Linked DNA regions of Anolis sagrei. The protein of the gene in region 2 purifies or fractionates together with the protein of the main gene of each other region. This does not show direct contact. Links are inferred from orthologs where the notes say so. Each region holds a gene or a part of one and is shown on either strand. Other genes may lie near its edges. The genes, in order: HMGXB4 and BPTF.

Region 1 (16,508 bases), on a different chromosome or scaffold from region 2:
TGAAAGATTATAGGACTTTTCACTGACATAGCAGTAAAAACAACTCAATGCTTGTAAAAGTTACGAATAATGACAAAGCAAAAACATCCAGTGATGCACAGATGGAGCTTCTTTCAGTCTATTTCAAATAATATCGACAAAATTGGGACCTTACACTGCTTACTGAAGATTTTTCATGAAATTGTATTAATGACAACAGAGTTATCAAAATACTTAAGATACTTTTCCAACAGAGGGAAACCCCAATGACTTAAGTTATCTGATTAAAAACTCCAATACTCCAATACTAACAGCCTTATTTAAATAAATGAAGCCATAGGTAAAGTGGTACAGAGAGAAGTATTCAATTATTTAGGTTCCAGAAATGTACGAGCTCCTGAACTGGGTTTAGAAGCAACAGGGCAGCTAGTACAGTTCCCTCTGAATCAGTGTTATGTGATCCCATTTGAGGAGCCCTGTAAACATCTTGGCACTAGGTAAAGCTTCCAGGTTGTCTTAAAGGATAGTCCCTTGTACAAAGAATTAGTGTAATATAATGGAACAATGAACCATAGGGGCCATATCACCCTTATCTGGGAACAGCTGTCACTATCAAATCACCAAAGGTGACACAAAATATTAATGCTGTTATGTTTGTTACCACTAAAAATGTTAACAGTGTCTGGCTTACTATTCCAGAACATTGTTTTTAACTAATATCTAATAGCACTAAACCAAAACCAGGTCATCCTTTCCCCCCAACCTTCAGACAGCAGTCCTATAAAATGGCATAGCTACGGAGTGGGGAATAAGGTGATTATTTCTTTTCATCCTCCTGTCCCAAGTATTCTGCCAACCAAATTACTATGATTGCAGGAATCCCAAACTTGGTTGAACATTTAAAAATACAGTTTTAAGCATCGGAAGAAGAAAAAGCAGCAGGCAAAGTTGTTAAGGGGATGATAACACAACTAATAGAAAAGTTCTAGCTGTTAACACTTTTCATTATTTCACTTTGTAATGCTAAATTTTTGAAAAAGAAAAATTTCACGGGGGGGGGGGGAGGGGCAGAATTGTTGTTTGTGAAGCAATGCCCTCACTTCCTCTCCCCACTCCATGGTAGTTATATTCCCTAGGCCTATGCACACTTACATGGGAGTGTATCCTACCAAAGTGAAGAGGGTCTATTTCTGAACATGAACATGTAGTAACTGTTGAATCTATCTTCACTCACTTCATACAAATTTCCTTTATAAAAACCTTGCCTAAATGCATCCTACTTTTACATTCATGTTTTCTGAACAGACCACTTATTTTACAGTTTCTCCCAAGCGTATCATCTGAAGAGACATTTATTGCCCAGATCAGATCAGTGCTCCAGAATCCCACCTGGAACACATAGGGTTACACTATGCATAACTACACCTCTTTCTTTGTGAAGTGTTCCGAGTACTGCAATTACTGCTGTGTTTTATTGGGGGGGTTACATTAGAAGAATACTCAAAAACGGCAGTTACGATAAAATGTAAGAAACTATACATAGGGTCTCTGGATAAATAGAATATGTCACTCCTGAAATAAATAGTTTCTCGCTTTCTGCTTGAAAGGAGAGCTGGAAAACCCATTATCCCTCACCAATGATTCAGTTCAATGACAGGCTCTGTTCAATAATATCTGGATGGTCACAGTTGCACACCTCACCTTCAAAGCTTTTTAGTGGTGGTGCCCCATTTGGGGCTTCTCTGGCCTTTTATTTTCTCAAACTGTTTAGGTAAAAGTCTGTTCCTGGTTACAAGCTTGCTGTTTACTGTTTGGTCTTAATGTTTTTATTACATCGTTATCATTTTCAATTGTGTGTGTGTGTGGTTTTTTTTTTGGGGGGGGGGGGGGGGTTGTACAATGTTCCCAGATTCTTCAAATTTAACTGCGAGCAAGCGAACATTCTTTCTGTCTTGTGGTCAGGGATATTAAGGAATAGCTGTTGCTCAGCACTTCAATTAATCAGTGGGTTTGAGAGAGCCTTTTACACCTAGGGGAATATCCCAAGAGTTCAGATGAAGAAAAATGAAAAATACAAGAAATACAAATAAACAAATCGACCCCTTATATCCTGCTATTTTACCTATTCCTGGATGCTCAGCCACAATGTTCACACGATATTCCTTACAGAACACTTGGTAGGCAGACATGTTTTTCTTCTTTGGCTAAAAGAAAATGGGAGGGGGAGGGAATATTTTATAGTGTATATCTGTATCAACACATTTCTGGTGCCAGTAGAAATTTCTAAAGAAAAGGTTTATGTGTGTCTCTTTCACAAGTAAGCAGGTTTCTTTCAAATGTCTGCCATCTGATATGCATTAGCTAAATACTTACAAAAACACTGGCATAAAATAGAAGGATAATGTTGTGACAAATTTGTTTTGACACTGATTTCTGGGGGAAAAACTGAGTACTTCTCAAAGACATGCAATACTTTTTTTGTCTGCCAGTAGGAAGAAAATTATTTAGGGGTGTATGTGTGTGCATGTGGGTTTTTTCATAACTAATAATAAAAAAACAGCACCTGCATCAACTTTTGCATGCATAAAACATCTGTTATAAAATCTGAATTCTGATTGTGTATCTGTGGCTGCTCAGTTCAGGTCTAATTTCACTCTCATACCAATAATTGCTTTCACCCACTCACTCTGCAATGGCATTTTACCTTTTCCTTTTCCAGTTTTTCAGCCCTCTCTTTTTCTTCCTTCCTCTTCTTCTTCTCACTCTGACCATCAGTATGGAAAACAGGTGGTGGCGGCAGCGGCGGCGGCGGCGGTGGTGGGAGGGGAGGAGAAGGAAGAGCAGGAATGGCAAATGGTGTGGTTGTTGGTGAGACTGGCAATGGGGCCGTGACTTCTGCTACCACCAATGAAGACGAAAGTCCTGAACTCCTTTTAGATTTGGAGTGTTTCCTATCCTTGTGCTTCTCCTTGTCTTTTTTCTTTTTACTCTTCTTGGATTTCTTTTTCTTCTTTATCTCCCGATATGAATCATCAATTATGAGCTCTCCAGCTTCCAGCTCTCCTCCAGAAGATGAACCTGATTCCAATTGTGGCTCCAGGCCTGGCAGCTCAAACTCAGTGCTTTGTCCTTCTGAGAAAAGGGATGTGTCTGGGCTAAAGCTCTCGGGAGCTGGAGGTAGATGTGCTTCTGATGATGACTTGTGCTTCTTTCGAGATGATTTCAGGAAGCCATGAGAGTCATGACTTGAGTGAAGTGAACTGTGTTCATCCCGACTAGATTTTTTAGATGATTTTTTTATTGTTGGAGTATGGGGAAAGGACTCCTCTATCATGCCTCCTCCCTTTTCTTTAGGTGAAAGAATAAGCTTCATCTTTAAGCCATCAGGCTCACGCAAGGTCAACATTTCAGTATTCACAAAGGGGGGCTTCATTTTCTTGGACTTGTGAGAAGTGCTATCATCCAAAGACAGGTCACTGCTGCTCCCACTCAGCTTCTTCTTATGGTGCTCCTTCTTGCTCTCTGAATGGCCAGAAGTACTAAATGAAGAATGAGATTTCTCCGATGGCCTTTTAGAGGACTTGGAGCCAGTGGCAAGCGGAGAGGTGATGGTCTTATGGTGATCCATGGCAGTGTCAGTAGAGGGTGGACTCAATATTGATTTTCTCCTCTTTTTAGAAGTTGACTCCAAAGGCAAGGATTGCTCAAAAAAGGAAAGACCTGAAAGGACCCAGAAGGAAGGATCAAACAAGGCTGGATGCCTACCTAACATCAAACATATTTCCTCCTACACAGCTTAAAATATCTCATGAAACTGATAGGCTTCCAAATTGCTTGCTTTAGAGATTTGGTTAAATAGGTACTACACAGATATGTTAAGGTATAATAACTGTACAGCCAATTTTGATTTTTCACACATTTAACGAGCACTGGCTGCATACCATTTTGCAAACCTGTTTATTCTTTTGTATATCTTTTACGTTTTATTGTCTGTTTTATTTCCTATATACACAATAAAACAATAAAAATAAATAAAATAAAGTCTTATCCTGAAGCATATTATTTTTTTGCCAATTGCAACATTCAGACTTGCCCCCAAAAGACAAGAGTTTTTTTCTCTCTCTCTCCCCCCCCCCACCCCCCAGACATTCCACTGATATATAAACCTCACTTGCCTTTCCAACAGACCCCTCAACCACTGATGATGCCTGTCAGGAGAGAATGCTTCTGGAACATGGCCATACAGCCTGGAAAATTCACAGCAACCCAATAAACGTGTCTGCTACAAAAAGCTACTCAATTTTAACACATTTACATACTGCCCCCCATTAACTGAGAGCTTATCCCCCTTTAAAAGACATTTTTCACATTTCCCACCTCACATATACATAATGAAACATTAAATAAACAAGGTGTTCAATAATATTAATTACCCCTTTCTTACTAAGAATAATTCCTTTATTGGGTTGTTGTGAGTTTTCCGGGCTATAAGTCCATGATCCAGAAGCATTCTCTCCTGACATTTCACCCACATCTATGGCAGGCATCCTCAGAGGTTGAGAGGTCTGTTGGAAACTCAGCAAGTGAGTTTTATATATCTATGGAATGTCCAGAGTGGGAGAAAGAACTCTTGTCTACAAGCATTTTCAACAGGAAGGAAGAAATAATGAAAATGAACAAAATCTGCCTACAGGTATTAAAAACCTCTAAAATCATAACAGTAAATAAAGAACAATACTCAAAAACAGGGGAATTCCAGACAAGAAACAATCAGGGCCAGCTTTTCACCTACTAACAAAGGATTCCCCAAGGCAATAAGAAGCTAGGCCTTGAAACTGCTAGGCCATTAAATGCTAATTACTGTGGCCAATTGATACATTCACACCTATCTCAAACAGACAAGAGTTCTTTCTCCCACCCTGGACATTCCACAAATATATAAACTCAATTTTCCTAATTTCCAACAGACCTTGCAACCTCTGAGGATGACTGCCATAGATATAATAATAATAAAGTTCCTGGGAAAAACTGAGAGCCAAATTGACAAAGAAAAAACATGGATGTGGTTCACAAATGGAACTTTGAAAAAGGAGACGGAGGGCCTGATTCTGGCAGCCCAAGAACAAGCCATTACAACAAATGCCATCAAAACCAGAACTGAAAAGTCGATGACATATCCCAAATGTAGACTCTGCAAGGAAGCAGATGAAACAATAGATCCCATCCTCAGCTGCTGCAAGAAGATTGCGCAGACAGACTACAAGCAGAGGCATAACACGATTGCTCAAATGAATAATTGAAACTTGTGCCACAAATACCATCTGCCTGCGACAAAGTACTGGTGGGATCACAAGCTGAAAAAGTTACAGAAAATGAAGATATCAAACTACTCTGGGTCTTCCGAATTTAGACTGACAGAGTTTTGGAGCACAGTAGTCCTAACCTCACGATCGTGTTAAAAAACAAAGTATGGATCGTCAATGTTGCAATCCCAGGCGACAGCAGGATTGAAGAGAAACAACTGGAAATGACATGATATGAGGATTTAAAGACTGAACTGCAAAGACTCTGGCACAGGCCAGTAAAGGTGGTCCCAGTGGTTTAGAATTTATTTATTTAGAACTTTTATATACCGGTCTTCTCACCTCCGGAGAGGGACTCAGGCCGGTTTACAACAAGATTCATGAACAGTAGTTTAAAAACATCACATCACATAATACATAAAAATACATTAAAAAGCAGTCATGTTCTTACATAAGGCCAAGTTGTCAAAGAGTTATCGGCACACTGGGTGCAGTGCCTAAAGACTTTGGCCTGCACTTAAGCACAATCGGTGCCGACAAAATTACCATCTGCCAGCTGCAAAAGGCCACCTTACTGGGATTTGCACGCATTATTCACCGATACATCACACAGTCCTACACACTTGGGAAGTGTCCGACGTGTGATACAATATAACAGCCAGCAGAGTGATTTTGGCTGCTGTGGACTCATCTTGCTGTGTTTAAAATAATAATAATAATAATAATAATAATAATAACAACTTAATTTTTGTACTCTGCCTCCATCTCCCTGCGGAGACTCGGGGTGGCTTACATGGGGACAAGCCCAAGATTACAAATAGTTAAAATAAATTATAACAAAAAAATTCATAAAACATTTCAACAATATAAAACAACCACAGAATACAATACATAGCGAATATTTAACAACCTTCAAAGGTTTGAGTAGTGCATGGATCCGAGTTTCAGTGGTGGCTGGTGTAAATCAGTTGCCAAAGGACAGGGTTGATGGTTAAAGTGTTAATGGCAGATGACAAGATTAGGACCCGGGGGGGGGGGGGGGGATGTAAGGAAAGCACTATGTCTCTAAAAGAGCACAGTGAAATGAGCAAAATCTAATTATGGATCAAACTGGGAACCAGAATTTTTGGGGGAACTATATGGCTGAATGTACAGTGGAACATCCATGTCTTTAGTTCTTTAGATGCAGGCGAAACGTCAGGAGAGAATGCTTCTGGAACATGGCCTTGCAGCCCGGAAAACTCACAACAACCCAGTGATTCCGGCCATGAAAGCCTTCCACAATTGGGTTGTTGTAGGTTTTTTGGGCTATATGGCACCTCACAACCTCTGAAGATGATTGCCATAGATGCAAGCGAAACGTCAGGAGAGAATGCTTCTGGAACATGGCCTTGCAGCCCAGAAAAACCTACAACAATCCAGTGATTCTGGCCATGAAAGCCTTCCACAATTGGGTTGTTGTAGGTTTTTCGGACTATATGGCACCTCACAACCTTTGAGATGCTTGTCATAGATGCACGTGAAACGTCAGGAGAGAATGCTTCTAGAACATGGCCATACAGCCTGAAAAACCTACAACAACCCAGTGCTTCCAGCCATGAAAGCCTTCCACAATTGGGTTGTTGTAGGTTTTTTGGGCTATATGGCACCTCACAACCTCTGAAGATGCTTGCCATAGATGCAGGTGAAATGTCAGGAGAGAATGCCTCTAGAATATGGCCATACAGCCCGAAAAACCTACAACAACCCAGTGATTCCAGCCATTAAAGCCTTCCACAATTGGGTTGTTGTAGGTTTTTCGGGCTATATGGCACCTCACAACCTCTGAGGATGCTTGCCATAGATGCAGGCGAAACATCAGGAGAGAATGCCTCTGGAATATGGCCATACAGCCTGAAAAACCTACAACAACCCAGTGATTCCAGCCATGAAAGCCTTCCACAATTGGGTTGTTGTAGGTTTTTTGGGCTATATGGCACCTCACAACCTCTGAGGGTGCTTGCTGTAGATGCAGGCGAAACGTCAGGAGAGAATGCCTCTAGAATATGGCCATACAGCCTGAAAAACCTACAACTATGCAGTGATTCCAGCCATGAAAGCCTTCGAAAATACACCTTCTGCACTACAATCTTGCAGCAACTGCACTGGTTGCCGATTGAGCACCGGATTACCTTCAAAGTGCTGATTCTTACTTTTAAGGCCTTATATGGCCTGGGGACGGAATATCTGATGGACCGCCTCACCCCCTACCAACACCCGAGATCACTCCGTTCAGACGATCAGAACTTCCTCGAAGTTCCCAATTTTTGGACCTTTCACCTGATGTCCACTAGGTGTAGAGCATTCACGGTGGTGGCTCCTTACCTGTGGAATGCCTTGCCAGCAGAAACACAAGCTCTACGAGACTTACTATCTTTTTGTAGAGCTTGTAAAACATATTTATTTAGGCTGGCATTTGAATCTTGTTGACTGAAATTTTTCTTTGATTTTAAATGTAATGTATTGCATATGTATATTGTAAACCGCTCTGAGCCTTCGGGGAGTGGTGGTATATAAAATTGATAAATAAATAAATAAACAAATAGATAAAATTTATCACCTGTCAGAATTCTAGGTCTCCCTAGCCAATGCAAAAGAGACAAAAACATTCTTTTAAAACGATTTAAAACAGTAAAAAAAAGTGAAATAGCATTTAATTCATTAAAATAATAATAAAAATACCAACGAACCTTAACAGTCTGAAATCTTACCGTTTAAAAGCGAACTCTGCTGAGAAAGGAAACATTTCCCTTGAGAACAAAGAATGACCTTCCATCCTGTCAATATCTGGAAGCCAAGCAGCTACTCAAGACGTTTGCTCTGCAGAACATTATTTGATTCGTATCCCGGGAGGGAAAGAAAGCTGCTTTTTAAACACAAGTAAGAAGACTTGCGTGTTTCCAGAAAGCGGGGAGACTTCAGACTTCAAACTGTGGAAAACGATGACGCAAAAACATCGCGACGGGGTCTCTCAAGATCCGCTGGGGAAAGCGCACCAAACTCCTCTGAAGCAGGCCGCTGCTCTCGCGAGACGAGGAGGGTACATCTCGCGAGAGCCGAGAGGGCGGAAAAGAGGGTTCCAAACCTATCGCGAGATTTCAAATGAAGCCTAAAGCTTGCCATTTCCCTTTCACTCTTTCAGTCGAACAGGAAGAGGGTGGAGAAGGATGGTGGCAGCTTTGGGTCGCTCTGTTGTGTTTCTAGATCCCATTCTGCCAGGAATATTGGGAAGCACTCAGTAAAATGGGCGGAGAAGAGGCACATAATAATAACAATAAATGCATTAATCTCAATCTTTATCTTCATAGAATCAAAGAGTTGGAAGAGACCTCATGGGCCATCCAGTCCAACCCCCTGCCAAGAAGCAGGAATATTGCATTCAGATCACCCCTGACAGAGGGCCATCCAGCCTCTGTTTAAAAGCTTCCAAAGAAGGAAACCCCACCACACGCCGGGGCAGAGAGTTCCACTGCTGAACGGCTCTCACAGTCAGGAAGTTCTTCCTAATGTTCAGATGGAATCTCTTGTAGTTTGAAGCCATTGTTTCGCATCCTAGTCTCCAGGGAAGCAGAAAACAAGCTTGCTCCCTCCTCCCTGTGGCTTCCTCTCACATATTTATACATGGCTATCATGTCTCCTCTCAGCCTTCTCTTCTTCAGGCTAAACATGCCCAGCTCCTTAAGCCGTTCCTCATAGGGCTTGTTCTCCAGACCCTTTATCATTTTAGTAGCTCTCCTCTGGACACATTCCATCTTGTCAATCTCTCTCTTCAATTGTGGTGCCCAGAATTGGACACAATATTCCAGGTGTGGTCTAACCAAGGCGGAATAGAGGGGTAGCATGACTTCCCTAGATTTAGACACTATGCTCCTATTGATGCAGGCCAAAATCCCATTGGCTTTTTTTGCCACCACATCTTATTGTTGACTCATGTTTAACTTGTTGTCCATAAGGACTCCAAGATCTTTTTCACACGTACTGCTATATATATAAAAATGCTCTGTGCATAATGAGTACATTAAAAACAAAAGAACCAATGAACGAAATCACACAAAATTTGGCAACAAAATGTCTCACTACACAAGGAGTCACCATCACAAAAAAATATAATTTTGTCATTTGGGAGTTGTAGTTGCTGGGATTTATAGTTCACCTACAATCAAAGAGCATTCTGAACTCCACCAACGATAGAATTGAATCAAAGTTGGCACACAGGACTCCCATGACCATCAGAAATTACTGAAAGGGTTTGGTGGGCATTGACCTTGAATTTTGGAATTGTAATTCACCTCCATCCAGAGAACACTGTGGACTCAATGATGGATCTGGACTAAACTTGACAGGAATAATCAATATGCCCAAATGTGAACACAGATGGAGTTTGGGGGAAATAGCCCTTGACATTTGGGAGTTGTAGTTACTAGGATGTATAGTTCACCTACAATCAAAGAGCATTCTGAACCACACCAATGATGGAATTGGGCCAAACATCCCTCACAGAACCCCCATGACCAACAGAAAATACTGTGTGTGTTTTTAGTGGTCTTCGGTGACTGTTCTGATACCCCCTGGTGACCTCCTCCCCCCGGGGTCTTGACTTCCCAGGTTGAGAAATGCTGCCTTAAGGCCATCCAGTCCAACTCCCTTAATCAGGGCAACAAACATAATGAAAGTTCTCTTGACAAAAGGCCATCCAGCCATTCACACACACACACACACACACACACATGTATATGACAGATGCAGTAACATAGATTTGAAAGGGACCCCTAAAGAAGGACAATTATATGTTGAATGTCCCAGAGTAGGCAAACCAGACAATCTCCACATCAACACTGGCAAAGAAATAGCAAGAAATACTGTTTACCCACAAGCATAAAGACATTACATATATTAGAAACCAACACTTTCTCATTACTTTATTTTCCAGATCACCAGACTGGGCCACAGCATCGTGTGGCAGGGGACCGCTAGTATCTATATAATAATAGTAGATGTAAGTTTGCAGCAGCTTTCCTATTGGCTCCCACTTCCAAAGACCACTGTGACCCCCACCATTTTTTTGTGTCAGCGATTTGAGAAACTGCAAGTCGCTTCTGGTGTGAGAGAATTGACTGTTTGCAAGGACGTTGCCCAGGGGATGTTTTGCAGTTTTACCATCCTTGTGGGAGGCTTCTCTCATGTCCCGCGTGGGGAGCTGGAGCTGACAGAGGGAGCTCATCCGCACTCTCCCTGGATTCGAACCTACGACCCCCACCAATGATGGATCTGGAGTAGACTTGGCACACAGAACCCTGATGATTAATGGAACGTGTTGTTATTGTTTATTCGTCCAGTTGCTTCCGACTCTTCATGACCTCATGGACCATTCCACGCCAGAGCTCCCTGTTGGCCGTCACCACCCCCAGCTCCTTCAGAGTAAAGCCAATCACTTCAAGGATGCCATCCATCTTCTCCTTGGTTGGCCCTTCTTCCTTTTTCCTTCCATTTTCCCCAGCATCATTTTCTTTTCTAAGCTTTCCTGTCTTCTCATGATGTGGCCAAAGTACTTCATCTTTGCCTCTACTATCCTTCCCTTCAATGAGCAGTTGGGCTTTATTTCCTGGAGGATGGACTGGTTGGATCTTCTCGTGGTCCAAGGCACTCTCAAAAATTTCCTCCAACACCACAGTTCAAATGTACTGGAGGGGTTTATGGGGACCGCCCAACCAGGATAGGAGTTGTAGTTTACCCTCTATCCAGAGAGCACTCTGAAGCCCACCAATGGCAGATCTAGACCAAACTTGGCACACAGAACCCCCATGACTAACAGAACATACTGGAGGTGTGGGGTGGGGGTGGGGGGACTGACCTGCCAGAGCGGGAGTTGTAGTTCACTCTGCATCCAGAGAGCATTCTGAAGCCCACCAATGGCAGATTCGGACCATACTTGGCACATAGAACCCCGATGGCTAACTGAATATATTGGAGGGATTAAGGGACTGACCCACTGGAGTGGGAATTGTAGTTCACACTGCATCCAGAGAGTACTCTGATGGATCTGGGCCAAACTTGGCACACAGAACCCTGATGACCATCAGAACATAATGGAGGGGTTGGGAGGAGGACTGACCCACCTGGGAGTGAGTTGTACCTTGTATCCAGAGAGCCCCCTGAACCCAGCTGACTATGGATCTGGACCAAACTTGACACACAGATCCAGTATGGCCCACTTTGAATAGTGGTGTGGGGTTTGCAAGTGATTGATCTGGAATCCGGGAGTTATAATTTAAAGTTGGAGAGCACTGAACCCTGCTGACAACGAATCTTGACCAGACTTGGCACGCAGACCCAATGTGGCAAACTTTGCATACTGGCAGGGTTTGGGGTGATTGACCCACAATTTTTGGGAATTATAGTTCACTCACATTATTATGCATTTTTAATGAGAGAATTCCTAAAAAACAAAAGAAAACACTGACTTCTTCCTAAAAAGAAATAGAGTTACAAATTACCAAACGAACACTATCTAACATTCAAAAACAAGCCATGTCTTTTTCAAATAACACTGGGCATCACTGCATACCCAAACTAGTAATACAATAACAATAATAGCATGTTACTTGCCTTTCCTCACAGTTTGAGGCAGGGTGCAACATAGTTGGAACACAGATTAAAAACACAATACAATTAAAATACAGATTCTAATACATTGAGTACACTGACCATTATAATGCAGTTCACACTGGATTATATGGCAGTGTAGACAGGGCCTGAGGCCCCTTCTACACTAATATATACAATCCAGGTTATCTGCTTTGAAATGGATCATCTGGCAGTGTAGTTTCATATAATCCAGATCAAATCAGATAATGTGGATTATCCACTTTGATAATCTGGATTATCTGGCAATGTAGAAGGGGCCTGAGTGACAACTGTCAGGAAGAGCACCTACTATTATTTATTTATTTAAAAGTTTTGTATACCGACCTTCTCACCTCTCTTGAGGGACTTAGACCGGTTTCCAACCATAATATCACATACAATCAATAAAACATCATAATACATATTACAGTAAAACATTAAAACAGCAATTACAGTCAATAACTATAATGGTTCTACAAAGGGGCCTTAGATGATGGCAGGGGTTCAGCACAGAAAAATTTCCATCACCAATCCATATTGCACAGAGGGCAGTAAACAAAATAGTTATGAACATCTAGGACCTTAAAATCTTCTGGGGAGGCCCTGCTCTCGATCCTGCCTTTTTTGCAGATGCGCTTGGCGGGGACAAGAGACAGGGCCTTCTCAGTGGTGGCCCCTCAGCTGTGGAACACCCCAGGGATATAAGATCGTTCCCCTCCCTTCTGACATTCCGCAAAAGGTTAAGACCTGGCTCTTAGAGCAAGCTTTCAACTAATGCAGCATAATTAGGTGAAAATGAAAATATGGAATGACTGACGATGCAATTGGACAAGGAGTAGTAAGGAGACACCAATTATTTTGTTTTTACAGGTTGTATTGTTTTTATATCACATTTTAAACGTTTTAATTGTTTTTATAATTGTTTTAAACTGTATTTTTATAGTTGCTAAGGCATCGAATCTCTGCCGACTGTGAACCGCCTTGAGTCGCCTCCAGGCTGAGAAAGGCGATATACAAATGTGGTAAATAAATTAATAAATAAACAAACATGAATACACCCCAAAACATAAAAGTAAATTGTTATATTTATCCACAAAAGGTGTGAATTTATTCCTTATTTTGTAGATATAACATAATTATATAATAATAGACTTCTGTAATTCACTGTACATTGGGTTACCTCTGTAGTTTGCATCAAGTTAGGAAACGCCAGTTAGTTCAAGACATGCCAGCTAGATTGGTTACAGGAACATCTAGGAGTGAGCATATTACACTCATACCAATTAGTATCTGGGCACAAAGTGTTGGCTTTGATCTTTAAAGACCTACATGTTTGGAACCAAGTTACCTACAGGATCCCCTGCACTATTTGCCCTTTAGGACACTTTGGTCTGGTGGACACTTCCTCCAACCAGCTGGAACCTGACTGGCGACTATCGCCCAGAGGATCTTTTCACTGACCGCCCACAACTATGGATTTCCCCATTGGCCCAGCCCTCTTATAGTTGTTCAGCAGGTCTTGGAAGTGAGTAGACCCAGGTCCTACCCTGACCATCAGTTAAGACCCTATTCTGCACTTTAACCACTCCCCCGGTCCTATGCTACTTTGTTGCACTAGCCAGCTCTCTCATAGTTGTCTAGGCCCACTCTGAAATTCTGACCATTGGTAGTCGAATTTTGCCCGATTGACTAGTACTGGAACTGGCTTTTAAATTTTAAATACGTATGACTATTCTAATAGTATTATGTTTATGTTTTATAATGATTATTCTGTATGATTTTCTGTTGATAATTGAATGCTTTACCTATGCTAGAAACCGCCCTGAGTCCCTTCGGGGAGATACAGCGGTATACAAATAGAGTTTATTATTTAATATTATTATGGAATGAGCAGCTGGAAGAGATTTGTGGAGCTTCTGGGTTGCTAATGCTATATTAGTGATAAGCTTATAACTGAATATAGTTCTTTTGTACTTTTTCCATTAATGTAGGTATTGCCATAGTCTGCTAAAGTTCTACATTAATTTTAGAAGGCTGTGGATGCTTTTGATGTATTGTGTCTCCTGTTTTATTCAGTCAAAATAATGTGTTTTTTTTTCCTTCCCAGAACAAATAAATAAGAAAATCAGAAAGTTCCATCACTGAACTTATTTTTTCTTTCTTTTAGTTTGCTTTACGGTTATTAATTTTCTGTTCCAGCATTATTTCTGGTTGAAGACACATGAAGAAAAGATTGTGAGGACTAGTAGAGTTGCAATTATCAATGCTCAAACAACCTCATGGATGGTTTTGGTAAAACTGGCAGAATTAACTGCCACTTACATGTTTTTATTTCAGAGACAAGGATAAATGAATTGAAGATGTTGTTGGTATGAAATCTAGCTATATTCATATTGAAAATTAGACATTAATTATACTCAGACTGGGGAGTATAGGAATAGATAGTCTTAGGAGAAGGCGGTGAAAAGAGGGAAAGCAGATTTCTCTCTTCCATAATTATTTTCCATGCCTTATTACTTGAGATAAGATAAGGCAACACCTGTTACTTACATTTCACAAGTTAAGTTTATTGTTTGTTCCTTTTCAAGAAAAAGTTTTTTTAAAAAAAAGGTATAGGGTTTGGAAGATATTTGTGGAGCCCCTGGGTTACTAATCTTACATTACTAACAAAATAACTGAATATAGTACTGTTGTATTTTTTCCATCCGTGTAATTAATGTCACAGTCCGCTAAAGTTCTATATTAATTTTAGAAGACTATGGATGCTTTTGATGTATTGTGCCTTCCATTTTATTCAGTCAAAATAATGTGTTTTTCCCCTCCCAGTACAAATAAATAAGAAAATTAGAAATGTCAGTCACTGAACCTATTTTTGTTTTTTTCTAGTTTGCTTCATGTTTTCTGTTCTAGTATTATTTCTGGTTGAAAAATCATGGAGAAAAGACTCTGAAGGCTAGTAGAACTGCCATTATCAATGCTCAAAAACCCTCATTGATGGTTGTGATAAAAAATGAAAAATTAACAGACATGCTTTTATTCCAGAGATAGATAAATGAATGGAAGATGTTGTTTGTATGAAATCTAGCTATATTCATATTGAAAATTAGACATTAATTATACTCAGACTGGGGAGTGAATATAGGAACGGAAAGTCCTAGGAGAAAACCGTGAAAAGAGGGAAAGCAGAATTCCCCTTTCCATTATTTTCCATGCCTCATTGCTTGAGATAAGACAAAGCAACACCTATTATTTACATTTCACAACGTTTGGTTTATTGTTTGTTCCTTTAAAAGGTTTTAAAAATGTATTGTGTTTGTGCTACATTGTTAAGTGATGTCAGCTAACTACAAAATTTCGAGTTTTGAAGCCCAGAGCACCTAGCTACTCCAGAAGGTGAAATCAGGACATGGAAGGGTTAGAAGGCAAAAGCAGAGGTATTTATTCTTCCTGACCAGAAAGAATGTCAGCGTAATCTGCACTCTCAAAGATTGGCATACCACAGTAGAGAATACAGAGCATTTTAATTTCATTTTGACAGATATTCAGATCACCTGCGCCAGTAGCTGATTGGTTGAAACCCACACTGGCTAGGATCCGTCCTTCAGTTGGTTGAGGACTCTGTGGAGCAGTTTCTCCAATTGGGTCTTGCTGTTGGTGGAAAATTCAATAAATCATCATTTGTGAATTCGAAGTATCAGTCTGTTTAATGGCCCGCTCCTGAGAGGGGTATGACTGAAAGGAATGTGGTGTGGCAATATGCAAAATAATCTATGATGGGCTTGATGATTTAGTACAGGTGATCACAATGGAGTGAGTGCAGGATACACAATATATATTTGCAAGTTATAAGCAAGTCAGTTGGAGAGGCTAGCCTGAGCAAATTCAATGACAAATTCAAAACAACTAATCTAATACTATAAAATTAAACAAGAGTATGCATTAAAAATCACTTTGTAAAACAATTTATTTAATTTTTTAAATCAAAATTGAAAAAGAGATGGATGTGGTTGGTACAGGGGTATTTGTTTCTGAATATCAAGCTGGAAGACACTCAGGCCCCTTCCATACATCTGTATAAAATCCACATTGTACAGGATTATATGGCAGTGTGGATTCAGATAACCCAGTTCAAAGCAGATATTGTGGACTATCTGCCTTGATATTATGGGTTATATGACTGTGTGGAAGGGCCCTAAGAAGGAGCATTAAATCCCTGAGTTGAGTAATGTTCAGTCTAGTTCTTTGCTTTTAGAAAGGCTGTGTGGCTGCACTGAATGAAATGTTGCTGTACTGAATATGATGTTGGAAAGAAAATAAAGTACATTTTGAATAGAGAGCATACTTTGCATGCAGAAGATCACAGGAAAGCCTTATGAGTAAGTGACAGCAAGCCTCATGAAGGTATTGAAAATCTATATGATGATTTTCGGAAAGAGAAAAAAAATAAAATAAAAAGAGAGTTGAGGATGGTAGTAGGTATGTGGGGTTAGATGGGGCCTAGGGGATTGGGGGTGGGTAGGATCGAGTGGGGGGGGGGGGAATCCGAGGGTGGGGGTGTTATGT
Region 2 (16,702 bases):
ACTTCAAAAATATTTTTACCTTATGTTCACTAGAGCAGGGCTTCTTAAACTTTTGCAACCCATTAACATTTTTCACCTGAGAATTTTTTACTCGACCCTGAGTGTATAGGGATATCATATCACTATATACATCTAAATAATAAATAAATGTACTTCAAAACAATTTTTGCTATAGCTATACATAAATTTTACCATTTTACCAATTTTTAGCTATACATAAATTTTACTCTGAGTTACAAACATTTGACTTACAAACAACCCATCATTAAGAATGGGGTTGAGGCAACAGAAAGTGAGAGAAATCTACTACTAGGAAGGGAAATTCACTCCTGAAAGAGTTATCATGCTCTCAAGCTCAACTCAAGCTCTTATCACCAATCCTTGTTTCCACTACAGGTCACATTTTTCAAAATCCAATTCTCACAAAGACAAAAAATGAGGCGAAATCTTCCAAATGAGCACAGACAGCAAAACAATCACCATAGGGATGTTAACTTTTTACACTAAATATTTGGCACGTGCAATCCATGGTTCTAAATGGTTCTAAAGTACTTACAAAACTAAAGTTCTGGTGGTGAAAACTAGAGGGCGTTGGTGCTTTGCTTCTACAGTGTTGCTAAAATTCTGGTGGTGAAAATTTCAGAACTCTAACAAAACTTTCAAAATTTCATTATTATTTCATTATTGATTATTTTATGACAGAACCAATTAGGAACTGCCATTTATAATGAAATTTTGAAGCTTTTGTTAGTGTTCTGAAATTTTCACCAACAGAACTTTAGCAACACTGTAGAAGCAAAGCACCAGCACCCCCTAGTTTTCACCACCAGAACTTTAGTTTTGTAAGTACTTTAGAACCATTTAGAACCATGGATTGCACATGCCTACTAAATATCTATTTTGGCAGGAGTTACACTTAAAAGTGTACCTGTTCCAACTTACATGCACATTCAACTTAAGAACAAACCTATAGAACCTATCCTGTTCATAACTTGAGGACTACCTGTACTAAAGTTGAAAACTAATTGGAATACTAATGAGATGGGTGTGCTTGTTTATTTTTAAATTTAAAAAATCTTGGTGGAATATTTGATACTACAGGACACCGTATCATCAACATTTTTCATGCCATGATTTGTCACCGCAAGTGGCAGAATATTTGGCATTTGGTTGTCATCTCAAGTGGCAAAATGTACTCTGGCGACTCTTGCTTTTCTCCTGGATTCATATAAATATCTAAAACATTCATTATACAAAATTTTGGTGACAACCAGATTCAATTAGGGGCCACAACCCACTTTGCACCAGAGAGCATAGGCTGTATTTTCATCACATTTTGTGGGGCCTGTGGGTTAATTTAAGTCCTGGAGAGGATGTTTTTAAAGTCCACAAACATGGTGAAATTCTCTCCATAACCCCTAGCAGCTTTGTAGAGAGGAAGTGGACATTTCTTTTGCAGTAATAGATGCCGCCCTCCAAGGTCTCCTGGGGGCCTAATGGAGCTACCTGGCCTTCCACAGTTGTCTACACCCATCTACATAATAGATGCTGGCAAAAGAACTAAAGATGCATCCCCCTTCTACATTCATTGCCTGGATGAAATCACCTTCAATACACCAATACCGAAAAGGAGAAAAACATCAAAGTATCCTGTCTCACGTCAAAGGCTTGTTCTCTGAAACACAGCTAATCATGTTTTTCATATGGCTGCCGTTGTGGTACAAGGCAACAACCAAGCCACAATTATTGCTCACAGTGCCACAGAATCTAATATTTACTGACTTTTACAAAGCTACACATGTTGGACAGGAAGCCAGAAAACAACAGCAACAAAATTGTTGAAAACTGAACCCCAAAATAATGAACCCCACAACGATGAATTAGTGAAGCCATGTGGACTTCATTCCCAGTTTCAGTTTTATTTTTATTTACCTCCCCTGGAATGCTACAAAGAGACCATACATACCTCAGACTTCAGGGAAGGGTAACACCTTTGTTAATACAATCCCTTCACAATATCCCAGGAAGTGATATGGAACACACAACCAGCTTACGCAAGAGCCTCTGGGTCTTTTCCTGTTTTTCCTGATATGATCAGGTTTAATCCTAGGAACACTTCCTCATCTCAGTCACCAAATTAGATCCCCTTCGGGGGTTCCCATTGAGATTGCCAACACCTTGAGCACCTTTTGTTTACCCAACTGGCACACATTGTTTTAACCAGAGCTGGGATATCAAGACCAACTGCATCCCCTTCAATCATGCCCCTATACTGGATGTATCAATAAATTGACACAAATCTTCAAAATAACCCAATGACAGTTTATAAAAGTTTTCCACCACAGTTAAGACCAACCAACATGGCTAAAGATCTTTGAAAGTAAAAAAAAAATCACAAAAAATTATAAACAATTATTGGAGTGGAGCACTGAAAAAGATCTGATTAAAAACTGCATGATCAAATGGGCAAAGGACATAGGAAGAACAATACCGCTAGAGGACTGAGAAATAATGTGGAATAGGAGAATGAACTATACCTATGCGTACGCTCTTAAAGAGAATTGGATTAAAATGCTTTACTGATGGTATATGACTCCACATAAAATAGCGAAATTCAATAAAAATGTGAATGATAGGTGCTGGAAATGTGGGAAGTGTAGAGGGTCCTTCACCCATATGTGGTGGACCTGTGAAGTGGCTAGATCTTATTGGATGGAAATCTCAGAAATTTGCCAAAAAGTACTAAAAAAGAAAATCCTATTCAAACCTGAAAGTTTTCTTCTAGAGATGATAGATATACAGTGGAGTATCAATGAAGACAGGCTCTTTTCCTATATGATTACAGCAGTGAGAATAGTCTACGCTAAGTCGTGGAAACAAGAAACTAGGCCACAGATAGAAGAATGGATAATGGAAATTATGGATAAACTGACATATTTACTGACAGAGGCCCACAATAAACATATGAAGAAGACGGATTGGACACCCTTAAATATTTGGATGAAAGAAAATAAAGTACTTCTATTAATAGAACAGAAACAACAACAAGAATAAATCTCATTTATACAGACTCACTGCCAAGGAAATGAAGAGTAGAGAAATGTTTACTGTAAATGCTTATATGGTGAGAGACGGAAGAACACCCCCCCCCCCAAGTGTCTTCCCTACCCCTGTCTTCCCTCACCCCCTTCCTTTTTCCCGTACCCTAACGCACTCCCCTCCCTTTTCAAAGCTGTTTTTATTGTCAATGAAAAACCATGAATAAAATTATTAAAACAAAGACCAACCAGGGGAGTAGATCTTAGCTGGCCACATGTCCGGCCAATCAGAAGCCAGTGCAGTAGTCTTGAATGTTAGAAATAAATCTTTAAAATCAAAATGCTAGAAATAAATATTTTAAAAATAAATGTTCGCAATTGCAGTATGTCTATTATTTGGAGCACCGTCTCCACTGACATCCTCTTTTGCCATTGAGAATAAAGCCTCTGTTTTTGCTTCATCTCATCTGTGCCTCATCTGGCTTCCTGAAGGCTTGATACATTGGGCTCCGAACCTGTGGTCCTTACAGAAGCTGAAATCCCATAACAAAAGTATTAGCAGAATAAACCATGTGTTATATGTTGTATATGTGAGTCAAATGGTTATATGTTAGAAAAGGGAAACCTTGCCAATCAAAGTTGCCAAAGTGGAAACATTATTTCCACCACCTCCAAATGTTGTTGTTGTTCATTCGTTCAGTCGTCTCCGACTCTTCGTGACCTCATGGACCAGCCTACGCCAGAGCTCCCTGTCGGCCGTTACCACCCCCAGCTCCCTCAAGGTCAGTCCAGTCACTTCAAGGATGCCATCCATCCATCTTGCCCTTGGTCGGCCCCTCTTCCTTTTGCCTTCCACTTTCCCCAGCATCATTGTCTTCTCTAGGCTTTCCTGTCTCCTCATGATGTGGCCAAAGTACTTCAACTTTGTCTCTAGTATCTTTCCCTCCAGTGAGCAGTCGGGCTTTATTTCCTGGAGGATGGACTGGTTGGATCTTCTCGCAGTCCAAGGCACTCTCAGCACTTTCCTCCAACACCACAGCTCAAAAGCATCGATCTTCCTTCGCTCAGCCTTCCCTAAGGTCCAGCTCTCACATCCGTAGGTGACTACAGGGAATACCATGGCTTTGACTAGGCGGATCTTTGTTGCCAGTCTGATGTCTCTACTCTTTACTCTTTTATCGAGACTGGACATTGCTCTCCTCCCAAGAAGTAAGCGTCTTCTGATTAATGTCCAAATGATTAATGTTAAAAGATACCATAGTTTAAATGGTCTGCTTTCCCTATTTTCTATCGCCCAGTCATTGATCACAGCCATTTGTGTGCTTGTGTTCGGAACAGAAAGAAAAGGATATCACAAATATCATGCAGAGAGTGAGAGGAGGCAAATGCATTTTCTCCTCCGCTATTTGAATGGGAGAACCTACTTCTTTGTACTATGTATCATAGGTGACAAATTCGGGTGCTTCTCTGTTAAAAGGTAGGCCCAACTGTTTTGTTATGTATTTGTCTTTCCCTTTTGTGGTAAGAGCTGTCTGTGGAGAGCTTTTGTACTAAGAGAGCTTTTGTGACAAGCTTTTAGTATTCCTTTGGCTTTCAAAGCACAATTCTGAGGACTGAGATTGGGAGACCTCTATAGGTTGCCATGAAGTGAAATGTAATTTGCAAAAGAGATGGGTTCAAGCTAGCCTTTTGTTTTGTTATTGCACTGGATGGCTAAATTATTTAATGCCTACCAACTCTTACCATCAGAAAGTTCCTCCTGATGTTTAGGTGAAATCTCTTGTCCTGCAATTTGAATCCGTTGCTCCATTGTGTCCTAGTCTCCAGGGCAGCAGAAAACAAGCTTGCCCCTTCCTCAATGTGACGTCATGGCTATTATGTCTCTTCTCAACCTTCTCTTCTGCAGGCTAAACATACCCAGCTCTTTCAGTTGTTCCTCATAGGGCTTGGTATCCAGACCTTTGACCATTTTAGTCTGGACACCTTCCAGCTTGTCAATGTCCCTCTTAAACTGTGGTGCCCACAACTGGATGCAGTGTTATTCTAGGTGGGATCTGACCAAAGCAGAACAGAGTGGGACTATGACTTCCCTCAGTCGCAACACTGCACTCATGAGTAACATGTGGCTATATTTGCAAATGGGTCTTATAGCAATGTATAGAGAATTTGGTAGTACTATAAGCTTTTCTCTCTCTATGGAAATGATACCAGATCCCTTTGCATATGGATATTGCAGACTAAAATGACCATGCCTTTGAATTCTGTCCTGGATACATAGATACTAAAACTGGCTTCCAAAACCGAAAGTCCAATTTAGACTTGGAACATGTGCAAACCCCAAGCATGCCATGGAAACATAATTGGGATCAACCATACTGTGAACAACTGTGGGGTAGTGATTCTTTGCAAACACCCCAAATGAAGTCAATTCCTGGTTTGTGTACCTGGTTTGATTCCATCGGCGCTGCCTCCGAAAAATCCTGCAAATATCTTGGGAATACAAGCGGACAAATGTCAGCGTGGTGGAAGAAGCAAAGACCACCAGCATTGAAGCGATGGTCCTCCGCCATCAACTCCGCTGGACTGGCCATGTTGACCGGATGCCCGATCACCGTCTCCCAAAACAGTTGCTCTACTCCGAACTCAAGAACAGAAAATGGAATGTTGGAGGGCAGGAAAAGAGATTTAAAGACGGGCTCAAAGCAAACCTTAAAAACTCTGGCATAGACACTGAGAACTGGGAAGCCCTGGTCCTTGAGCGCTCGAGTTGGAGGTCAGCTGTGACCAGCAGTGCTGCAGAATTTGCACAAATGGAGGGCGAAAGAGAAAAACATGCCAAGAGGAAGGCGCGCCAAGCCAGCCCCGACCAAGACCACCTTCCACCTGGAAACCGATGCCCTCACTGCGGGAGAAGATGCAAATCAAGAACAGGGCTCCACAGTCGCCTATGGACCCACCGCCAGGACACTACACTTAGAGGACCATCACCCTCGGACTATGAGGGGTCGCCTAAGTGTACACCTTACTTCTTCAAGGTTAGAGAGCACGGAAATTTTTACTCTAAAGATCTCTCTAAACCTGATGCTAGCACTGTATGGAAGTAATGTGCCTGGATGCAGAATGGTTGCCGAATTGTTAATCTCTTCTCTGGGAGGCTGCAAAGTGATGGCCACCAGGCTGGCTTCTTTTCTAGTAGATTTTATTGTATTAACTCAATGTTTTAATTATTTATAATTACTGTTTGTTGTGTATTTTATTGTGTTTAATTGCAGGCATCGAATATGTGCCGATTGGAAGACGACCTGAGTCCCCCCTAGAGGGTTGAGAAAGGCGGGGTAAAAATACCTGAAATAAATAAATAAATAAATAAATATTATCAGTGAAGACTGTACCCTTTAGTGTACTCATTGCGGCTACTTATTAAATTTAAATCCCGACTTTCTCCCAACATAGGAATCAAGGCAGTGTACAGAACAACAACACAATACATTTTAAATCCTTAATACACAAGTTAAAACACAAATAAAGTAAATTTAATTTTTTTAAAAACACAACTGAAAAACACTAAAATGTTCAAAACACAATAAAATATAGTACTAACACACAGAGACTTCTCATTAAAAGCTCTATCTGCTGCAATATACTGAAAACTAAATGTCTTCTTAAATAAAGAATGGACATTGCCTGCCAGCAGATGGAGTCAACCTGATTTCCGATGTAGAAAGTTCCACAACTGGAGAGCAACCACTGAGAAGGCTGTGCTCTTTCATGTCCTCTATGTTATGACACAATATAAGGCAGAAATGGTTAAGATAATACATTCTTAAGTGCTTTTCATACAATCATCTGTCTATCTGTCTGTCTGTCCGTCCATCCGTCCATCCATTTTGAGGGGGAAGGGGATAGGTTGATATATTTTTAAGCTAAGGAGGCTGTTAGTAAGGTGGCTGTTCAAGTCCTGAACTGTAACGGACTAGATGAGGGCCAACAGATTGAAACTAAATCCAGACAAGACAGAGGTACTCCTGGTCAGTCAAAAGGCTGAACAGGGCATAGGGTTACAGCCTGTGCTTGACGGGGTTACACTCCCCCTGAAGGCGCAGGTTCGCAGTCTGGGAGTGATCCTGGACTCCTCGCTGAGCCTGGAGCCCCAGGTCTCGGCGGTGGTCAGGGGAGCTTTTGTACAATTAAAACTTGTGCGCCAGCTGCACCCATACCTTGGGAAGTCTGACTTGACCACGGTGGTCCATGCTCTGGTTACATCCTGTTTAGACTACTGCAACGTTCTCTACGTGGGGTTGCCTCTGAAGACTGCCCGGAAGCTCCAATTAGTCCAACGAGCAGCAGCCAGATTACTAACAGGAGTGCTGGTGTTAACCTATAAATCCCTAAACGACTCCGGCCCAGTTTACCTGTCCGAATGGATTCTCCCCTATGAACCATCAAGATTGTTAAGATCTTCTGGAGGGGCTCTGCTCTTGGTCCCACCATCCTCGCAATCACACCTGGTGGGGACGAGGGACAGGGCCTTCTCGGTGGTGGCCCCTCGGCTCTGGAACTCTCTCCCACTGGAGATCAGAACTGCCCCTTCTCTTTAGAAAACAGGTGAAAACCTGGCTCTGGAAACTGGCATTTGACGAGTGAGTTAATAACCCGTGACTACACAGACGGATGGTGATGAACTACGATTTCATTTTGAAGACTTGGCCTATGTAATTATATGATTGTATTTTAGTATTTTAATGTTTTAGTGTATTATGGGATGTGATGTTTTTAAATGATTGTCTGTGATACTATTGTTGTGAACCGGCCTGAGTCCCTCTGCAGAGGTGAAAAGTTCTAAATAAATAAATAAATAAATAATAAGCTCCCCTATTAATAAGATAGAAAATTTTAAAATATGTGTATATTGTATTGTATTGTTTAATTGAATGCTATGTTCACCTGCTTTGCATGGGCAGACCTATGCCAAACAGGGCAGGTATACTCGGCAATTGAGTTTACAGTTAGGCGATCCCTCGTTGTCCGAGGATGATGGTTCTCCAGGGTCAGTGTGCAGTATGTGGTGGATCCATAGGTGACTGTGGAGCCCTATTCTTGATCTGCATCTTCTCCCACAGTGAGGGCATTGGTTTCCAGGTGGAAGGTGGTCTCGGTCGGGGTTGGCACCTTCCTCTTGGCACTTTTCTCTCTTTTGCTCTCCATTCATGCTTCTTCAAATTCTACAGCACTGCTGGTCACAGGTGACCTCCATCTGGAGCGCGCAAGGGCCAGGGCTTCCCAGTTCTCAGTGTCTATGCCAGAGTTTTTAAGGTTGGCTTTGAGCCCATCTTTAAATCTCTTTTCCTGTCCTCCAACATTCCGTTTTCTGTTTTGAGTTCGGAATAGAGCAACTGCTTTGGGAAACAGTGGTCGGGCATCCAGATAACGTGGCCGGTCCAGCAGAGTTGATGGTAGAGGACCATTGCTTCAATGCTGGTGGTCTCTGATTCTTCCCAAGAGATTTGCAGTATTTCCCAGAGACAGCGCTGATGGAGTCATTCCAGGAGTTGCATGTGACGTCTGTAGACAGTCCACGTTTCGCAAGCATATAGCAGGGTTGGAGGGACAACAGCTTTATAAATAAGCACCTTGGTATCCTTACGGATGTCCCGGTCCTCAAACACTCTGCTTCATTTGGAAAAATGCTGCACTTGCAAAGCTCAGGCAGTGACTTTGGTGGTGCCAAGGTAGCGGAAATGGTCAACATTTTCTAATGTTACACTATTAAGCTGTATCTCTGGCATTGAGTAAGTAAGACAGACCACAGCAATGCGTGGCCGTCCCCTGCCACACATTGCTGTGGCCCAGTCTGTGTATATGTTTTGTGTGTGTATATATGTGTTTATGTGTTTGTATATATTTGTGTATATATGTGTGTGTGCATATATATATATATATATATATATATGGGTGTATACATTTGTGTATTTCTGTGTGTATGTGTGTATATATGTGTGTTTGTGCATATATATGTGTGTTTGAATGTGTGCATGTGTATATGAGTATATGTGTATATGTATATATTGTGTATTTTTGGGGTTTTTAAGTCTGTTTAGCTGGGGTTGTGTGTGCTTGTGTGTGTTTATTTAGGGGTGATGGTCACTTGTTGGACTGTTAGGTGTATTGTGTCCAAATTTTGTGTCAATTCGTCCAGTGGTTTTTTAGTTATGTTAATCCCACAAACGAACTTTACATTTTTATTTATATTGATATCCCAGTTCAAAGCGGAAAATATGGGGTTTTATTCAGCTGTGTGGAAGAGGCCTCAGATAATCCTGTACAAGGTGATATTGTGGATCATCTGCCTTGATCTCCTGGGTTCTGTGGCTGTGTGGAAGGGTGCAGAGGGCCCTTCCACACATCCATATAACCCAGAATATCAGTATCTGCTTTGAACTGGGTTATCTAAGTCCACAATGCCATATAACCCAGTTCCATGCAGATATTGTGGATGATCTGCCTTGATATCCTGGGTTCTGTGGCTGTGTGGAAGGACCATATAACCTAGAATATCAGTATCTGCTTTGAACTGGGTTATCTGAGTCCACACTGCCACATAACCCATTTCCAAGCAGATATTGTGGATGATCTGCCTTGATCTCCTGGGTTCTGTGGCTGTGTGGAAGAGCTATGTAACCTAGAATATCAGTATCTGCTTTGAACTGGGTTATCTGAGTCCACACTGCCATATAACCCAGTTCCATTGCAGATATTGTGGATGATCTGCCTTCATCTCCTGGGTTCTGTGGCTGTGTGGAAGAGCTATATAACCTAGAATATCAGTATCTGCTTTGAACTGGGTTATCTGAGTCCACACTGCCACATAACCCATTTCCAAGCAGATATTGTGGATGATCCGCCTTGATATCCTGGGTTCTGTGGCTGTGTGGAAGGGCGCTGGGAGAGGAGAGCCCTGCCGAGGCTCCTCAAGCAGTTCGAAGGCCTTCTGCTGGGCCGCCGCCGCCGCCTCGCGCAGCCCTCGCGCGCCCCCTGGCGGGCCCCCCTTGCGCGCGCAGCCCTGCCCACGTGACCCTCCCAAGGCCTGCCGCCGCTTCCCCGAGTCTGAGGCGAAGAAGAAGAAACAAGATGGCGGCCGGCGGCGGTCCGGAGCGGGGCGCCGGCGCTAGAGACTGAGCCCTTCCCCGGGCCGGGCCTCCGAGCTCCCTGCCGGGCCTCCGGGTCTCGTCCCCCAGCGCGGGGAGGAGGCGCTCCCGGAGCGCCCGCCGCCCTTCTCCAGCGGCCTCCCGAGCGGCCTCGCAGTCTCCCTCAGCCTGCCAGCCAGCGCCCAGCGATGCGGGGACGGCGAGGCAGGCCGCCTAAGCACCCGCAGCCGGCGGCTTCCAGAAGCGGGGCCTCGGCTGCCGCTGCGGCTTCCCCCACGGGGCCCACCGGGGGGCTGAGGTCGCGCCTGCGGGGCAGCAGCCGGGGCAGGTGGGCGGCCAAGGCCCAGGCGGGCAAGGCGGCCGGGCCCAGGCCGAGAGGGGCGGCGGCGGCAGCAGCATCAGCGGGGGGCTCTCCTCCCACCCGAGGGGGCGGCCGGAGGAAAGGCGGCGGAGGGAGCAGCACCCCTGGCGGGGGAGGCAGTAGTGGCCGGGGAAGGGGCAGGGCGGCCGCAGGAGGAGGAGGAGGCGGAGGCAAGAGCCGCCACAGCAGTAGTCAGGGCAGGGCCTCCTCTTCCCGGAGGAGCAGCAAAGTCGTGTACGACGACCATGAGAGCGAGGAGGAGGACGACGAGGAAGAAGAAGAGGAGAGCGCGTTATCCGAGGAGGAAGAGGAGGAGGAAGAGGGAGCCGACTCCGAGGGGAAGCCCGGCTCGGATGAAGAGGAGGCCATGGAGGGCGAGGAGGAGGACGAGGAGGTGGTGGTGGTGGAAAACGAGGAGGAGGACGGCGGCGTCGGTGCAGGAGGCATCCCTTCGGACTGCCCCGAGGAGATGGAGGAGGAGGACGACGACGATGGCAGCTACTGCACCGAAAGCAGCTTCAGGAGCCACAGCACCTACAGCAGCACCCCAGGTATAATCATAGAGTTGGAAGAGAGAGAGAGACCACATGGGCCATCTAGTCCAGCTCCATGCACAATCAAAACACCCCTGGCAGATGGCCATCCAGCCTCTATTTCAGTGTTTCCCAAACTATAGTTCCCTAGGTGTTTTGGCCTACAACTCCCAGAAATTTATTTTATTTACAGCATTTATATTCCGCCCTTCTCACCCCACAGGGATGGAGCCCCTGGTGGCGCAGTGGGTTAAACCCCTGTGCCGGCAGGACTGAAGACCAACAGGTCACAGGTTCAAATCCGGGGAGAGTTGGATGAGCTCCCTCTGCCAGCTCCAGCTCCCCAAGCGGGGACATGAGAGAAGCCTCCCAAAAGGATGATAAAAACATAAAATCATCCCGGCGTCCCCTGGGCAAGGTCCTTGCAGATGGTCAATTCTCTCACACCAGAAGCGACTTGCAGTTTCTCAAGTCGCTCCTGACACGATAACCCCCCCCCCCCCACAGGGGACTCAGAGACTCATATATAGCAAACATTCAATGCCAATTTTGGCATACGACGTATACAGACATACACATAAACAGACATATAAAGACATATACATAAATTCCAGCACCCCAGGTAGAATCATAGAGTTGGAAGAGAGAGAGAGACCACATGGGCCATCTAGTCCAGCTCCATGCACAATCAAAACACCCCCGGCAGATGGCCATCCAGCCTCTATTTCAGTGTTTCCCAACCTATAGGTCCCTAGGTGTTTTGGCCTACAACTCCCAGAAATTTATTTTATTTACAGCATTTATATTCCGCCCTTCTCACCCCGCAGGGGACTCAGGGCGGATTACAATGAACACATACATATATGGCAAGCATTCAATGCCAATTTTGACATACAAGGTATACAGACATATACATAAATTCCAGTCAGTTTGCCAGTTGTTAGGATTTCTGGGAGTTGAAGGCCAAAACATCTGGGGAGCCACAGGTTGAGAATCTGCTCTATTTAAATGCCTCCAAAGGAGGCGCCTCCACCACACTGCCAGTGGTTCTCAACCTGTGGGTCCCCAGATGTTTTGGCCTTCAACTCCCAGAAATCCTAACAGCAGGTAAACTGGATGGGATACCTGGGAGTTGTAGGCCAAAATACCCGGGGACTCACAGGTTGAGAGCAGGTTGATTTAATTCAGGGGTCCTCAAACTATTATTTATTTTGCACATTTCTACCCTGCCCTTCTCAACCCCCGAGGGGGGACTAAGACCCGGGGGCCAGATACAGCCCTCCAAGCTCATTTACCTGGCCCTCGCTCAGGGTCAACCTAAGTCTAAAATGACTTGAAAGCACAGGATAACAACAATTCCATCTCATCAGCCAAAAGCAGGCTCACACTTCCCATTGAAATACCAATAAATTTATATTTGTTAAAATTGTTCTTCATTTTAATTATTGTATTGTTTTAAAGTGTTTTGCACTACAAATAAGATATCAGTGTGCATAGGAATTAATTCATGTTTATTTATTTTTTCAAATTATGACCTGGCCCTCCATCAGTTTGAGGGACTATGACCTGGCCCTCTGTTTAAAAAGTTTGAGGACCCCTGATTTAATTGATAGTGCAATATTGTTGTTTTCTGTTGGGTTTTCGTATGTATGCGATGAGGTATTAAATTTTGCCATGAATATGTTGGAAACCACTTTGAGTCCCCCTGGGGTGAGAAAAGCAGTATACAAATGAAGTAAGTAAATAAATAAATAAACCACTGCTCAGAGGGAAGGAGTTCCTTCTGGGAGGGCTCCCTGAGGGCCATCCAGTCCAAACCCTATTCAGCCATGCGGGAGTCCAGCACAATCAAAGCATTCCCCACAGAGAGCTATCCAGTCTCTGCTTAAGTCTATTTAAATGCCTCCAAAGGAGGCGCCTCCACCACACTCTGGCAGTGGTTCTCAACCTGTGGGTCCCCCGATGTTTTGGCCTTCAACTCCCAGAAATCCTAACAGCAGGTAAACTAGCTGGGATATCTGGGAGTTGTAGGCCGAAACACCCGGGGACCCACTGGTAGAGAACAGGTTGATTTAATTGGTAGCGAAACGTTGTTATTGTTGCTTTTTCATATGTATGCAATGAGGTATTCAATTTTGCCTTGAATATGTTGGAAACCACTTTGAGTCCCCCTGGGGTGAGAAAAGCAGTATACAAATGAAGTAAGTAAGTAAATAAATAAATAAACCACTGCTCAGAGGGAAGGAGTTCCTTCTGGGAGGGCTCCCTGAGGGCCATCCAGTCCAAACCCTATTCAGCCATGCGGGAGTCCAGCACAATCAAAGCATTCCCCACAGAGAGCTATCCAGTCTCTGCTTAAGTCTATTTAAATGCCTCCAAAGGAGGCGCCTCCACCACACTCTGGCAGTGGTTCTCAACCTGTGGGTCCCCCGATGTTTTGGCCTTCAACTCCCAGAAATCCTAACAGCAGGTAAACTAGCTGGGATATCTGGGAGTTGTAGGCCGAAACACCCGGGGACCCACTGGTAGAGAACAGGTTGATTTAATTGGTAGCGAAACGTTGTTATTGTTGCTTTTTCATATGTATGCAATGAGGTATTCAATTTTGCCTTGAATATGTTGGAAACCACTTTGAGTCCCCCTGGGGTGAGAAAAGCAGTATACAAATGAAGTAAGTAAGTAAATAAATAAACCACTTATCAGGGAGTTCCTTCTGGGAGGGCTCCCTGAGGGCCATCCAGTCCAAACCCTATTCAGCCATGCGGGAGTCCTGCACAATCAAAGCATTCCCCACAGAGAACCATCCAGTGTTTGCTTAAAAGGTTACCACCTCACTTATGAGGCAGTACACCACTCCTGTGTGTTTTTATTTTTTGAGGGTAAGGAGAATATGTTATATGTATTGCATATACCAATTTAAAAGGTTTTAATGATTTTAAACTGGGTTGCTGTGAGTTTTCCGGGCTGTATGGCCATATTCGAGAAGCATTCTCTCCTGATGTTTTGCCCACATCTATGACAGGCATCCTCAGAGGTTGTGAGGTTTGTTGGAAACTAGGCAAGTGGGGTTTATAAATCTCTGCAATGTCCAGGGTGGGAGAAAACCCTTGTTTGGTTGAGGCAGATGGGAATGTTGCAATTGGTCAGTTTGATTAGCACTGAATAGCCTTGTAGTTTCAAAGCCTGGCTGCTTTCTGCCCAGGGGAATCCTTTGTTGGGAGGTGTTAACTGGCCCTCATTATTTAATGTCAGGAATTCTCCTGTCTTCTGAGTTTTGTTCTTTATTTACAGTCCTGATTTTATATATTTTTTTAACACTGGTAGCCAGATTTTGTTCATTTTCATTGTTTCCTCCTTTCTGTTGGAATTGTTCACATGCTTGTGGATTTCGGTGGCTTTTCTGTGTTGTCTCTGTGTTTTTAAACTATTTTAAAGTGGTTCTCGAGTTTCATACTATTTCACGTCTGTAGGTTTTGATGTGTATGTTGTGTTGTTTTAGTGCTGTCTGCTACTTTGAGTCTTAAGAGGAAAAATGTCCTATAAGTAGTAATAATAATGATCTCTCCAGGGTGGCCGGAGGGTCACTTTGCATGCCAGGTTGGAGGGGGTTTTAATGGGTTTGCAAAGCAGGCGGTTCTGGGGCAGATGTGCATCCTCTGCAAAAGGGTAAATATTAAGCATGGTGGAGTCTCCCTCATTACCCAAAAAGCTTGGGGCCAGAAGTGTTTGGGAATTCCTTTCTCCTAGATTTTGGAATATTTGCATTTGCCTGAAGAGATATAATGGAGATAGGACCCAAGACTGTACACAAATTTGTGTTTCTTTTACTTCATATAAATCAGTGGTTCCCAACCTTTTTTTGACCAGGGACCACTCTCCAACATTAGTATCAAAAGGGTTACGAATCAGTTTTTGGTTGATTTTAGATTCAATTTGGTTATTTGGGCCGCTGAATCAGAAAATTGCATTGGCTAGACTACATCAGCTCTAGTTTCTGATACGTATATGCTATCCAGTAGTCGTCATCTGCTAACCCACAGAAAACCATATTTAATAAGCCTCGGCACTATAAGAGAGTTTCATGAGACCAGTCACTCTCGTTGCACCGTTGTAGTAATGGTGAAGCTGTGGACCGTATTTGATTTCTTGCAGACCACTGGTGGTCCATGGACCACAGGTTGGGAACCACTGATATAGATGGAAGGTGACTTTAGGCATATTATTTTAAACATAATTTTGTTCATGAAATGATAGATGATAGATCTTAGCCATCCATGTCATCTATTTGGAGTATTTTGGCATTCTGATTAAGGGATGCTCAACCAGTGCAAAAAAGGGTCTTCTGTCACAGATGTGTCTCCAGAAACGTGGCAGAAGTTTTAGAAATTAAAACTTTAAAAACCATGGGGAGTGCTTGATGGTGGGAGGGACTGAGGAAGTCAGCAGGAAGTAAGCATTGCCTGGCAAGAAAGATGCCTGTATCACCAATTTGTAAAAACAAAAACAAAACAAAAAAGCCCAACAGCAATAAAGGAAGGAAGCATGTTCAGGATGCCTTTGACTTCGATAGAACAAAAATATTTTAGCAGATACCAGACTGTCGATATGTAGGTTTGTTAATGGAAAGATGAAAGCAGGTGCATTTAGAATGGAAATAAAATCAGTAAGTAGTAACGAGTACCAATGAGTTGAATATAATGAAACCCATCTGTATTTTTTTATTTTTTAAAGACAAAGTTATATCTTTTTACTACGATTGGATAACTTATCCAGTAATTTCAGTTTCAACCAATTTGGTTACACAAAACATTTTTATTTAGTTGCATTGCTCTTTTTAATTTTCTCTGATATTGTAAAACCTCATATTCGGCTTTTAAAAAAGTTATACTAAAACTAGTATATGCTCGACTTCGAATAGTTTGCAGAATGTGCTTTACATCGTAAATAGGTTTTTGGGAAAATGTTATTACATGACATCATGTATGTTTAACTAAAAAGTTGGCAAGAGTGAACCTTTCCAAAATTGTCTTATCTAGACATATATGCTTTAGAACACTGCTTCATAAACTGTGAGTGCTGAACCCAAATGGAATCAGTGTTAGGGTTGTGAAAAATTTGGCAGCATTAAAAGGTTTCTGAATGCCACCTAGACATATACAGAAATCTGTTAGCAACAATGTGTAGTGTTTATAGTGGACTTTGCAGAAGATGCTTCAGCTGTACTTCATAAAAAGGAAAATCAGCCTGTTTAGGAAGCCTTGCCAAATTTTGATTTGTCATCAACCAGTGTTTGATCCTATACCTATTTTATATATCTATATACCTGGGATCACATAAAAATTTCTTAGTTGAAGAAGGGTTCTGAGTGGGAAAAGCCCTACTTTAGAAAATATGTAGGAATGAGGATTGAGATTTACATACTGCACGGTAAGGTGTCAAAAAGGCAGTTCAGTGCTTAACAATTTGAGGAAAACAAGATATACTATAATGAAATTTTCCACTTTACTCAATAAATAATAGTTTTGTGAAACTTCATGAAAGTAGCTTTAGTGGGTATTATTTTGTGCGACAACCATAAAAATATTTCTGCTAGTTTTGTATATTACGATTTTGAATTTTGAAAAA

What was found.
Region 1: the proteins of BPTF (region 2) and HMGXB4 fractionate together in Homo sapiens (co-fractionation; 3 studies listed by BioGRID, with this or other methods). This does not show direct contact. The link is inferred for Anolis sagrei from reciprocal best matches to the Homo sapiens genes BPTF and HMGXB4.

What each region holds. Positions count from the first base shown.
Region 1 is NC_090025.1:167,418,326-167,434,833, forward strand, and holds the start of HMGXB4 (HMG domain-containing protein 4), read right to left. Parts: upstream 8,121-16,508; 5' UTR 8,033-8,120; intron 3,700-8,032; 5' UTR 3,608-3,699; coding exon 2,684-3,607; intron 2,184-2,683; coding exon 2,102-2,183; intron 1-2,101. UniProt on the Homo sapiens protein: Negatively regulates Wnt/beta-catenin signaling during development.
Region 2 is NC_090022.1:180,068,941-180,085,642, reverse strand, and holds the start of BPTF (nucleosome-remodeling factor subunit BPTF), read left to right. Parts: upstream 1-10,123; 5' UTR 10,124-10,371; coding exon 10,372-11,095; intron 11,096-16,702. UniProt on the Homo sapiens protein: Regulatory subunit of the ATP-dependent NURF-1 and NURF-5 ISWI chromatin remodeling complexes, which form ordered nucleosome arrays on chromatin and facilitate access to DNA during DNA-templated processes such as DNA replication, transcription, and repair.